2 linked regions of the Styela clava genome follow. The protein of the gene in region 2 interacts with the protein of the main gene of each other region in a pairwise test. Links are inferred from orthologs where the notes say so. Each region holds a gene or a part of one and is shown on either strand. Other genes may lie near its edges.

Region 1 (6,339 bases), on a different chromosome or scaffold from region 2:
TTGTCCGCCTACCCACATGTACTGTAATCAGTGCCAGCTTATTCATTTCTGTTGCCTCACAATGCAAACTCAAATGACATTTTGAATTCTGTGTTGCCATGTAGGTGCATTATTAATCTGATTATGTTGCATCGGTATCGATACGGTGTCCGCACATTTGATCTAACCTTTGCTCGTAACAAGTGTCGCTAATACCTCTCTAAAAATGTTTTATTACACATATCTTCATCAACCGCGAGAGCTGGCGAACTGACAGGCGACAGTAGATCATCTGAATTTCAAACACGATTTGAAATGAAAATATTTTGTCAATCTTTGATTGTGAACCCGCGATAACCCATATCGCTGTTAGTTACTACAGTACTTCAAGATATCTTCCGCCGCTGCTCTATTCACGGCGTCATCAACGCTTTGTAAATAAGCGGCACGTGACGACGACAAGAATACGTTTAAAACGCGCGCCACACTTTGAACGGCTGTTGTTAAAATTGGCGCCTTCACACTAAATAGGGTAACAAACAAGTAGATGGGTTTATACTAATGATAATATTTATTTCATTAAAAAGAAAACGTAACGACGATAATAACAAAAAACTACATTTTCAAGCATGATCAAAGAGAAAACAAAAAGGCCCTTACTAAAAGTGCGTTTATTTTGTTTTATAAACGGTGAGTCAAGCTGAAAAAATAGAGTTCTGTCAAAAAATCTGAATATGGAGTACACTCTGTGGAACTACTATACAAAAAAAGCTCAATGAGGTCAAGATTCACTTTGATCCTCATGGAAATTGATTGTTTACCATGCTCCAAAATGAACATGACAGAATATTCATCCCCCAAAACAGGATTACAATATAAAAAGTAAGCAGTGCGCCCGGTGCTTTTCCATTGGCTTCAACTCTTATAAGCATGTAACGCTATTGTAAAGTTCAAGTTTTATGTATATTGATTTATTTCTTGGATTTCTTCTGTCCGGTCTTTTTAGGAGTAGCTTTCTTTGCTTTCGCTTTCTTTTGTGGGGACTTGGTGGATTTTTTAGCGACCTTCTTTGCTGCGGGCTTTTTTGTCGTTTTCTTTGGCGTTTTTTTCGTGGTCTTTTTTGCAGTTTTTTTCTGTGTTGCGGCTTTCTTGGCGGCAGGTTTTTTCACTTTTGTTTTTGTGGTTGTTGTTTTCTTGGTTTTTAAAGCGGCTTTAGCTTTAATCGCTTTCTGTTTTTCTTTCTGAGTTCTCTCCAGTTGCTTATCCTTGTCTTTTTGCGCGTTACTCAGTTTGAACGATCCAGCAGCACCGTTGCCTTTTGTATTAGCCAGATATCCAGCTTTGATAAGACGGGCTACATTCTTACGAAATATAATTCTTTTGTCCTTAGGAAGGTTGTACTCTGCGGCAGCATATTTCCAACATTTCGCGAGAGAAGTCCCTCCTTTTGAAGAACCTTCATGTTTTACAGCTTTGATTACCATAACCTGGTAAGTAGGGTGATCCTGCGATTTGCTCGCCTTCTTGGTTTTTTGAGCAGACATTTTCAAGTTTTTAGTTTAAAATTAAATTTTCAGCAACCAAACGCGTACTTATCGCACAATATTCTCTCTCGAATGCGCATTGCCTTTGCGACAACCTTTTCTATATAATATATGACGTCACATCGAGTGCGCGGACGTCAACGGAACGGTAAATATTGCGAGAATTTGGCGCGAGAGAATTTCTTTCGTGATAATTTTGTGTTTGTCGGTTGTAGAAATACCAATATTTTTTAAAATGTATAATATATCTAAACTTCATTCGAGGACAAAACAATACCAGAGAGTCCATTGAACCCACTCTTCGTTTTTCGTAATTCTAAGTTTAGTAGAACGGCGTTAAATGGCTTGGTAAAATGAACATGTCTGAATAAAAGAATATAAAACTTCAATATTCTAATAAATGCTTCTAAAAATTTCATTTTCATCTTTGTTTCATAAAAAATGCTTTTACATACTAAAAATAGTATCGTTTGGTACTGCAAAATTTTCTTTAAAAAAAAAAATTTGGTTTCGTTAGTGCTTAAAATTGATTTGAAAAGTCAACATTCAAACACAATCTTTTCAAAAACCTAATATGTTGCTTGTTGCTTCGAATATGATTATATATTTTATCCCTTGATAAATATTTAAAAAAAGGTATTTTTCAGAATAAAATGAATATCTCATTCCTATTATTTTCAGAAATTAAACAAAGAACATACTTTAACGCGATATCCATTGTATTGTTAACTCTTAGTTACTTGAAGCAAATGGCGAAAATGACTTCACAAACGTGATTGAAAAGTGTTAGTTGTTCTTATTTGAACCGATAATTTTTTACGTATAAAATCTTATACTTCCATTTGAAATTAATGAAAATGATTTGTTCGGCCTATATTAAAACCGATTTCAGGGAAATTTTCGAATTTGATATGTTTTGCATTTAGTTAGCTTCTTTCCAGATAGACGAGGTGGGTGGGAGATAAAAGAATTTAAGTAAAAGTAAATGTGTGTGAAGTTTTAGGTGAGATTCTCGTGAATCACCCCCAAAATTTCATCTGTGATAATTTCAACTTGAAGAATTCTATTTTTAAATTATATCAAATTTTTCCATGAAGCAACAAACAGAATATATGAAAAAGATTTATTGGAAATGCTTCGCTGTGACAAAAGTGAGTTGTAATAGGCAAGCAAAGTTAGATAATCGTCAAACCAAGATAATATTACAATAGGTAAGATACTAATAGGCCACATTTTTAGCAAAGTCAAGAAAGTTAGATCTCAATTTCACTTGATTATCCTCCTGTCTTTTAAATAATTATATATTCTCCAGGTATGGGGTGTAGATACCGTGGGATATCAGTTTTCTTGGAGTTGTTCAACCGTGTACTTGATTTTACTCCAAATAAAAGCTAACCTTACAAATTTAACAAATGTCTTTGTTATTATTGACACTATTATTGTAGTATATGTCTACCCTGGTGCTGCTGTGTTAGGAATGCTCTCTGTCAATCTCCTAATCAATGATATTTTGTAAAAATCAATACTAATTTCAAAGTGGATATATGAATCGGATTTACACAGCCATATTACTTTTCTCACATGTGATGTAGTTATTAAATGGATACTATAGATGGATCGAATCCTGATACTTAACTGTAGTTGTAATAAAATTGACGAGAATTGCAAATGTTCGAACCCCAAAGCGAATAGCAATTTATTAAATAGAAATAAATAATAAAATGGCGCTCAATTTTGAGATATACAATTCACAAGTCTGATGTCAATATTTTCAAGATTATAACAACCAAACTCCTGCAGTGTACGCGATTATAATTCAAATTGGTTTGCTTATTGGTCAAATATAGGATTTTTTTTGATAGCTGTTGTAGATATATGTATATAGTAAGGGGTGTGGTGCGAGGGCAAATATTGCGACAAATATTTATATTTTCGTTCGTTTTTTAGTTTTTGATTTTGTTACTATTGCGGAATTCGTATTTAATTAAAAATGTAAGAATACATAATTTCTCAATTTATCATTTCTAATTGGTTTTTACATGAATAAATTTTACAGTAGTAGTATAAATGTATGAATAATAATAATGACGAAAAATCCTATTCGGTTGAGCTCTGATTGATAGGTAGTCGAAACTGGTAGTTAACGCCTAATAACTTATGTTAATTTTTTCGTGCGTCATTCCCCATTTGAAATCGTCTACGCTTTGCAAAAAAGCGCCATCCCGTGACCTAGACGAATAGACGTTGAGAAGGCGCGTTCATTATTACAAATTGGATAAAAATTCTGACATCAAGTATTTTTTCGAATAAAAAAAAGTGTGAAAGGTCACTAGATCGATCATGATCCAATGCATTAATATTTTCTCCATCGGTACATAAACGCGTTTATCGGCGGCGTCAAATTTATAAATTTTTAAACTTCAAAGAAGCATCATATATGTGATTTAGTTCGCTACGATGTTTGAATTTGCAAAATTTTGTTGAAAAACGTAACTGCCGTACATTTAAAATTTTGCAGTCAGTATACACTTTTCAAGACGATTATAGGAAAAGGTTCATTGAGCTAGAGCTATGGGAGTATTTTATAATGTGGCACTACATCCTTTGTGACGTAGACGCAAAACGGACAAAAAATACCCACATCGCTTTGTTTAAGGTGGGTAATGGCGGGCGAGGGCGATCTCTAAAGTCTAAAGACAAGAACTGGCAGCGCACCAGGGCTATGTGTGTTTCCCCGAAAGAATTATCCCTATACTTTACTATTGCAAAATTTATGCTTATTCTGAGAGTGTTTTGATGTGTTGGCGCATATAAACCGGTTTACATGTTTGAAACCATCATTTTTAATAAAAATTAATCAACCATGTGTCGTTTGCAGGTACTGATATAGCTAAGTTTAGCCTTGTCCATCGGAGCACTTGCGAGATTCATTTTTGATTGCTGCTGCAATTAAAGTAAAGCTCCGCGGAAGACTTAATGACAATTAAGTTTATCAATTCACAATTATTTTCTTGAAACACAACTGAAAACTGACGAATATCACTCAAAGCTACAACAACGAGGCAATGTTTGCAACTATGCTTGAATATCTGTTTGAGCGACAGAAGTGTCTTAGCGGCTGGGTGCAGAAATTGCAATTGTTATCTGTTGCGTCATTATTGACTTATTGCTGATTGCATGTTTACGGAAATAAACAAGGAAACTGATGCTTGGTGAAACATCCATAAACGCTGTTCAGCCAATACATACAGTAAGGAAGATAAAGCGTTAGCCAACTGAAAGGTTAATTGTTGCAATAATTCATATCTGCTCGCGTAGCACTTGAAAAGCTTCGCGTACTAGTGGTGCGCGTACCACAGGTTGAGAACCACTGAGCTAGAAAATATAAAATAGTTATAAACATTAATTAACAAGAGAGCTATGCTCAATTATATGAACACGTCACAAGTTTTTTTTATCTCGACACATAAAAGACGAATCTCCTGAAGTCCACAGAAATTTTTGAAATAAGTAATAGCCTTCTGGCTCAATCTTTAACCACTGAAAAAGCAATTGGTCCAGTATTCGAAGAAAAGAGAAAAGCGATTTTATCATGACGAAGGAGAAGAAAAACAAGTGCAGCAACATAATATTGAAACGATCGTTACGTACACTGACGTGTCCATTAACAACAATCATCACGATGAAATGGAAGCGTTGCAGGTTGGAATCTCAGGTTTAAATTCACTGCTGCCATCAATCAAGGATATAATAATTTGGGTAGACTCAAGCCTAACTTTCAGCCTTCAGAAAAAAACATGTTATCTTCAACATATCTAGGACCGCAAAACCCGGTTTCAAGGCATACTACCATATGACCGTAATCTCAAACTCTCGTTCCGAAGATTTTTTTGGTTAATACGACTCTATAATTATCAAACATATGTGAACTAGATGGGGGTGATATTTTTTTCATCAAAAAATATTTAAAGGGAATTTTCTACGCATTGATTTATTACGATGTACATATATTACGAATTATTTTAGAATTGCAAGCAATCACTTCCGATAGTTATATTACTTATTTGAGGATCCATAAATTGATATTTATATATAAAAATATACCAATAATATAAATTTATATCGACCATTTTGTTTCGATCTCCGGAAATACAGGCGTGTTAACAACATTAAGGTGTAACAACGAATTCAATACCTGGCCTATTAAATATATTTTAATGTGGCAGATTCGATAATTTGTCGTTAAACGTGTGTTATTTAGTTAATCGTTATGTCAAAGAGTGTTATCTTTCTAGTGGTAATTTGCTCTGGTATTATTTTTCTAAGTTTTATTTCTATTCGGGAAAGCATATTTAGGTCTATAGAAACAATAAAGACTACTCAGGTGTGCTATTCGTATTAATTTTTTTTTTGTCGAAACGTATTAATTACGACTACTCAGGTGTACTATTTATATCAATTTTATGAATTTACTAAACAAAAAATGACTTTTTCCGTGAACTTGGACATCAGGGAATGAGGCTCATCAAGGTTTCACCACGATAGTTTGCGAATTTCATTCGATTGGTTTGAAAAGAAGCCATGGTAATATAAATATAACGATGTTGCAAGACTTAAACGAATCGGTAACCGAAAAATTACTCGAAGATTTTTCAATTCAATGCTTTTTTGTCAATAACATTAATTATAAGAAATTAACATGTTTTCAGCTCGAAGATATATTTATTTTGGGTATAATGTCTCTTACTATAGCTATCATTGAGAGTTTGGGTTGACAAACAACACCTTATTGGGGTAACAAACAAGCATTAGTGCG
Region 2 (7,114 bases):
AAAATTAGCCAAGTCAGTATTTTGAAAAGTGATCGAATAGCTCGCGGAGCCCCTAGGTTTCTCTCGCGGAGCCCTGGGGCTCCGTGCGGAGCACTTTGAGAACCTATGCCTTACAGCACCCTATACTCCATCATCGTCCCCTAACAGGCTATGTAGTAAAATTAATTATAAATCAATTAAACAAGTAGACTAATCATAGCCCATGATTTTTTTTCAATGAGATGGCTCAGTGATTTTCAACTTGTTTTTTAATATTTGAAGACATTTTTGTCAGGCGTAATCTTTAATCATCCCATCATCCCGTTTGCTTATGAAAGGGAGTTTATTTGTTTTGATAGCAATCGTGTCAGATCTGAAACCAATTTATGAATGTGAGAAAGTTTCTCACCCCTTATCACTGATCATAGATGCTCCCATTATCTTTTGACTATATTTGAGTAAGAAATCAATCAAACCTCCATATTGACTTCATTTTCCACAACCACATATGGAAGGCCCTGTGAAGATTCATTGACAACATCTTGCCAAGCCTTTAATTGGTTTCGAAGTTCTGATTTTTTCCTACCATATGTTGATAGATATTTAAATGATTTTGGAATTGCATTGAAGAGTCGTTGTGTACATGTGTTTTGGTGGATTCCATTCCTTCCCAGCAGTAACTGAAACAGTGATAGAAAGAATACAGAAATGAATCGCTTATAACATCAATCAATAAGAAAAAGTTTGAGAAATTGGCATTATCGACAATTGACACTAGAAATTAAAATATATACAACGGTTTGAGTCTGACACATTCTTCAAATACCTTCTTAGTATAAATTGCTAGTAAGATTGTCGCCTATTGAAGGATGAAGTATTCAAAGACTGTTCATCAAAGTCGAGCAGAGTTACAAAAATATTAATTTGAGCTTCCAGTCATTAAGTGGGCAAGATCCACTATTACTAGTGAAAGATTACCATAGCTGTTTCCAAAATTCATTAAATGGAAGCATTTCTTCATTATAAAACATATGGCTTAGAATAGGTACTGTGGAACAAAATGCAATACAAACTTGTATCATATTTCTGAAGCTTTCATTCAAACACGAAACAAGATTAGAGACTGAATGACTACTCAGTTTTACAAGAATGTAATTGTTGAATCAAAAAAACAAGCTAAAATTGTTTGGTCGAATCAACATTGTTATTCAATGAAGTCAAGACTATCATCAGTAAAACAAATATGCCTGTTCTCTCACTTTATGCCATGAAAGGTTTTCCTTCGTAAAAAAACTATTCAGTTGTGAATCATAATCTTCATGAAATTCTTTGATTAGACAATGACAACTTAGATTGACAGATGATTCCCAAGTATTTGCTTCTTCTGGCCATCCAACCCACTTCACTAAATAATATCTCTGATTCTAAAAACAAAACATTGAATATAGAAAATATATACAATACTTGTTGATGTCCTCACCATATGTCACTCTGATGACTCTTGCCAATTGTGTATTTGCGAGAATATTGTAAGCAAAAGATCTAATAGCAATACAAAGGTTTGAGAGAAGAGGGCAAATACTGAAATTTTGAAAAATCTTGTTTGAAAATATTATAAAGAAATATGTGCTCTTTAAGTTGATATTGAATCATAGTTTGAAGCAATATTCAATAGTATTTGAATGAAAACTAACAAATATCGCAAATAAAAGAATGTTTTCTGAAAATAAATTTTTTTCAGTTTCGTAATGTTTAAAAACATACTTTCACTATTCGAATGTCTGCAATATATTCCACTTCATACATATTGTTTGGTTTTCTCATTTTTAATGCGCTAGTTTGATGAGCAGTCAGTAATAATTTTCTGGATGGAGGTAGTCTTCGTTTTGCAACTTTGTAAACTCTTTTAGGATTTTTGTCTTTATTGTTTTCAACTTTTTTTACTGCTTTACCAGAATAAAACCAAGCACAATTTGCATAAGTAGAGGCCATTCTCTTTTTGTATTTGCTTGGTACTGCGTATTTTGATGAAACAGTTAGTCCTTTTTTAGCCGCTTCTAATATCAATGATTCTTGAACAAAAAGAACAGGAACAACAGGGAACAAGTCCATTTCACTGTTTGGCTTGATTTTCTTTAGAGGCATCTTGTCAGTCTTCACAACTTCCGATGCCTCAGAAGCAATTGAATGCTCTTCTTCTTCTTTGTTGGAATTTGTCATCATGAAAAAGACAACGGCATCAAAATGTTGAAAAATTCACTACAAAAAATAACATTAGGAACATTTAAAAATGTGGCAAAATATAAAGAAGTGAAACAGATAATGAGATGATGTCCCGATATTTAATATATAAAAAACCATTCTATTTGAAAGGGAAACGAGGGTGTTTGATATGCTGACAAAAAACTTTTAGCAAAAAAATGTAAAATGCAAAGGAAAGAACTTGGAGGGGCATGGGGGCAGCACAGTCAGACTGTCTCCTACTGCAGTACTGAAAGCAGCACAGCACAGCTCTTTGATTCCAGTCCCCAAATAAAAAGATATCAGTTATAACAGTTAGTGCAAACCCTCCTTTACGAGACAGTCTGGGCCTCTACATTGATCGGCACTGCAAAATAAACTAAAAGAAAGAGCTATTTTAAAACGTCACAGTTGAGTTCCGTGGAAAAAAGAATCTGTTACACGAAAAAAAAAAATATTTTAACGCATTCAAGAGCTTTCAGCAAAAAAATGCAATTCAAACAAATAAAGTGTTTGTTTTATTGAACCAAATATTGGGACATTTTGGAATCAGAAAACTGTGCTCTACTGTAAAAGGGTTTGTATTTATCTTTATAATACAGTAATAGTTAATATTCAAATATCGAGAATTTCCTGGTATTTTTTAACTGTGCCGTACTGGGGTCGGTGTTTTACCTAGTTCAGTAGTTCCTATCTGCCTATACCATACTCGAAATTTGGTTGATATGCGAACAAAGAAAGAAGTGTTTAATGAAGTTCTATCTTGGACTATTTTCTTTATCTGATATTTTTCACTGTAAAATTTAAAGTCAAAATTTTATTGTGTCTTGTAACACCATTACGAGGTTCAGGTTGTAATAAATCTGTAATCCCACTCTCCCTTACATAACCCGAATTCTCCCGTTCTCGCATTCCTCAGTTCCTGCATTGTCTAAATACTGAAATATGAGGTCATTTTTTGTGGTCTCGGTATATGGCGGACAGATATTCCAATCCTTAATATCTGCGCGTTCACAAATTTTTTTTTTCGTTTGTTGGAACAAGAGTTATGACATACTGCAATAAGTTAACCCAAAGGCAGAGTTACGGTACCGTACCTAAATTTCACCATTCGAAGTTACAACAATAGTGACCAATGCTTTATAAAATCCAGATAACTGGATAACAAAAAAATACAGAAATATATATGGGTTGTCGCATGTCTGGTAGCCTATACAGGGTCATAATATGAAAAGGTTTTAAATAAACACCAACATCCCGTATTCGAAGCCGAAAAAACAAACGCAGACACCCCGACAACAACCCGCCAATTCGCGTTTTCGCGCCTTCGTAAGGGCTTGTCGCTTGACAAATATCCTGCACGCGACCTCTTGCGGCGTACAAAATTAACAGTGGGAGCAAATTCAGGATTTAGTCGTTGGGGTAGGAGGATTTGGGATCGGATATGGTATACATATTTATCCCGGGAGAAAGAAAAGTCGATAAAACAACCTATTCCTATGGCGAAACATGGCCGCTCGTCAGGGTTTTGGTCCATGATGGGTATGAGATTAGTTAGCCTTAGCCTACAGGCGACTCTGCAAACCGTAAATGATGTCATTTTTGGAGATTTTCCATCGACTTTGGTGTTTATAAAAATAATCCGACTTGCATCGTTGATTACAATAAATATGTTTAAATGAATACTTCGGTCTTGGCAAGTTTAAAAACGAGTAGGTGCAAATTTTCAGATGTAGATCGGAAGTTGGCCATGTTTGAACTTTGAAGAGTAAAGTTTGTACGATAGTCAGTCAGTAGTTTTTCACCAAAATGAACATACACTACATGCAAACAAAAACTAACTCATTACTTATGAAAATAAAAAATATGACCGAATCTTCTGTTTTACTTCGCTTTAGTAATTATGTAATTACCTCAAATGGTATTATTGTTGACAAACAGGTGATATTTAGCAGTAACATTTTAGGAAAAAATTGCACCTTCTTTATTTCGCCAAGAAATCGTACAATCGATGACGCATAAGTATAATTCAAACAGCATTAAGGAGTCGTCGTAAACTTTTTTCGCTGGAATTCAAATGCGCTGGAAAGAATAGACTTGTGTTACATGAAACACGTAAGTTGACAGAGAAATTTCCTGCTGTTTATGTTGTCATATAATACCACATCACCTTGAAGAACAGACCAATTTGCGTTCAGTGCAGAAAGTCGGACATTTGTTTTAAATCCTCACAGTGTGAATTCCAAGGTTAACGAATGTATTGGAAGCCTAAGACATAAACATCATCAATAGCTTATGCAGTCTAATCGGTGTTAGTCATTATGAAATCTCGTGCGATTAATTTATTGCAATGTCAATGATTTATGACTAATGAGACAAGATCTTTACGGCGATACACGATATGCAGGGTGATACCCCCAAAAAAACCTTCGGCTGCTAGTCTATGACGTTATCTTTCTAAAAAGACGCGGAAATGGATAACCAAAGTTTGGTCAAAATGGGGAGATGATGGAAATGCATAGAACTTTTGAAGTTTTGTACAATGCGTGAAAGCGAAGTGTAGCCTAAGTTAAAAAAACAAATCTTGGGAATGTGATAAATGATTCTATGCACTCTCAAACTTCCGAATAAATATTAATTAATGGGAGCTGGGAAAAATTTGATGAATGATAAAAAATATAAAACAACTCAAATCTATCCGCGTCTATGCAATAGTTTCACACGAGCCTAGTTCAACTTGCTTAAACGCGTATATATGGATCGACATTCAGCTAATCTCATGCGTCGCTGATCAGCATCTAAAAATAATTACAAGGTACTCCAAGCAAGGGTAGAAGAGTACAGCAAACACATCAAAGGTGCATGTCTCCGCAACATGCTATTTTTCTCTTATCGAATTTGTATTGTCTGTAATGAGGCGGGAATATCATCTATCAAAGAATCAATTCGCCCTATGCACATTTGAATCTCGTTTAGAAAAATATCCGTTATGTTATCTGAAAAAGGCCAGTACGACAATCGTTATCAATTTCGGCATCTTATCGCACCGATTCAATTGATCTCTCGACCCAGCAATATAAAGTCGTGGATATCGCGAGCGTTTCTATCGCAATGTACATTTTCCATCAACCAAAAAATTTGCAAAAGCGTATTTATGCACGCTGTGTGGACAAGTATCAGAGTAGAAATTGGTTCATTTTGTTACATAGCTGCAAAATCGAGCTCTTTTCAATACTGGGATAATTTATAGCCCATTTCGGGTGTAAAGCGGAGTGGTGTTATTGTCTATTATTAGCAAATTTATTGCCCTACTGGGGGAAAATTTGCTCTGCAGCCAATGTTCCCTCTAATTTTTTGTAGTATGTGTGCGCAGAAATTTTGGTGTGTGCGCACTCTTTTGGAAATGACTTATATTTGTGCAAAAATCAATGAAGAAATTTTGGCGTTCTAACCGGGTAATAAGTGGGCCAACAACAAACTTTCTCAACCTACCAACCGAGAACATTGTTACATTACATCGAAATATGTCTGTGCGCAGTAAATCTATGCGTGTGCGCGACCTCTGAAAGCTGTGTGCGCGCGCACACGCGCACACTTTAGAGGGAACACTGTCTGCAGCTTAAAATTATGATGTTGTCCCCGCAACAAACGTCCATGAAGACGTAATCATTTTTAGTACATATGCTATTGACAGATATATTTTTATTCAAATCATGTACGCGTACGGCTACGTATTGCTATTGTTTTTCCTGAACCTAGGTAAAATTTTCACCGAGTTGAACTGCACCGACATCGTGTATAAATAAATGACAGTGCATTTATACTGGAAAACCATCGAGTTCGAGGGGCATAAGACATTAAATATTTGAGAAGTTCCGAGAAAAATAGAAGCAAAAACGAAATCACAACAGAGTTTCTGTTGTTCTGTTTCGAGACTCTACGGAGAGAAAAACTTCGTTGACTTTCCACTACACCATTAACTTGATAAACTACCATATCGCAGCAATATGTTCGTTTAATTTGTGTTGGTACTTATGATTTTGATCAGCAAGTGCCTAAAGCTGCTGCATTTTGAACTTCATGAAAGAGTTTACTTGACTAATATTTTATGTGTGTGATGAACGAGCCCCCAACAAACATGTCTGTAGTTTTTAATGCCCCTGGCGTATTTTGAGTATACATGTAATTGATACCAGCATTACTTGCTCACATTTATTTATTGGTCATGAAAATTCAGGCATAAGCTAAGAACAATGATTACACCAACATGAATATATACTGTGCATCTTTCATAGATTAATTGAAGCCAATTAGCTAATAAATTGCGGAGCTATAGATCAGTACAATCTTTTGAAAATATCTTACTACTGTTAGATTACTCAGTGAGTTGATTGATGCTAGCATTTGAGCAGTTATCTGTTGGTCATGGTAACCGCTGCTATCTGTGCTATTTTGCATGATTCAAGTGTTTGGACTTAAGTCTGAATGAGTAACATACAATTAACATAGAGCAAGCAACAAAATGGAGCAGCACTTCTGTACAAAAGTTAGATTAAAAAATCAATATAAGGCAAATTACATGATTTCAAAACTTAGCCAATGGTGCTAATAATGATATTCAATAGGAACAGAAACTTTTGGACATGGCCAGAAATTGAATGAAGCATTATCATTTATATAAAAAAGTATGTACAAGATGATAGGACGGTAGTAAAAATTGGTCAAGGAATACAAAACATTTTATAATAAAGTAGTAATACTAAGGCACCTATATTTTTTTGCAATATTATTAATGACAAACGAGGCAAAATGTGCATTGGCAAACTCACAAAGAACCAGACTAATTTAAAATGATCTTGTATAGATCCACAGAAAATATCAAAATTTTTTGATA

Evidence for each region.
Region 1: the proteins of histone-lysine N-methyltransferase SUV39H2-like (region 2) and uncharacterized protein LOC120327991 interact in binary tests that used the Drosophila melanogaster proteins (3 or more experiments, as listed by UniProt). The link is inferred for Styela clava from reciprocal best matches to the Drosophila melanogaster genes Su(var)3-9 and His1:CG31617.

What each region holds. Positions count from the first base shown.
Region 1 is NC_135256.1:12,943,415-12,949,753, reverse strand, and holds uncharacterized protein LOC120327991, read right to left. Parts: upstream 1,604-6,339; 5' UTR 1,524-1,603; coding exon 951-1,523; 3' UTR 532-950; downstream 1-531. Other genes in the region: galactose-3-O-sulfotransferase 3-like, read left to right, coding at 5,794-5,907. UniProt on the Drosophila melanogaster protein: Histones H1 are necessary for the condensation of nucleosome chains into higher-order structures.
Region 2 is NC_135258.1:20,715,335-20,722,448, forward strand, and holds the start of histone-lysine N-methyltransferase SUV39H2-like, read right to left. Parts: upstream 3,003-7,114; 5' UTR 2,896-3,002; intron 2,239-2,895; 5' UTR 2,203-2,238; coding exon 1,744-2,202; intron 1,404-1,743; coding exon 1,239-1,403; intron 660-1,238; coding exon 456-659; intron 1-455. UniProt on the Drosophila melanogaster protein: Histone methyltransferase that specifically trimethylates 'Lys-9' of histone H3 using monomethylated H3 'Lys-9' as substrate.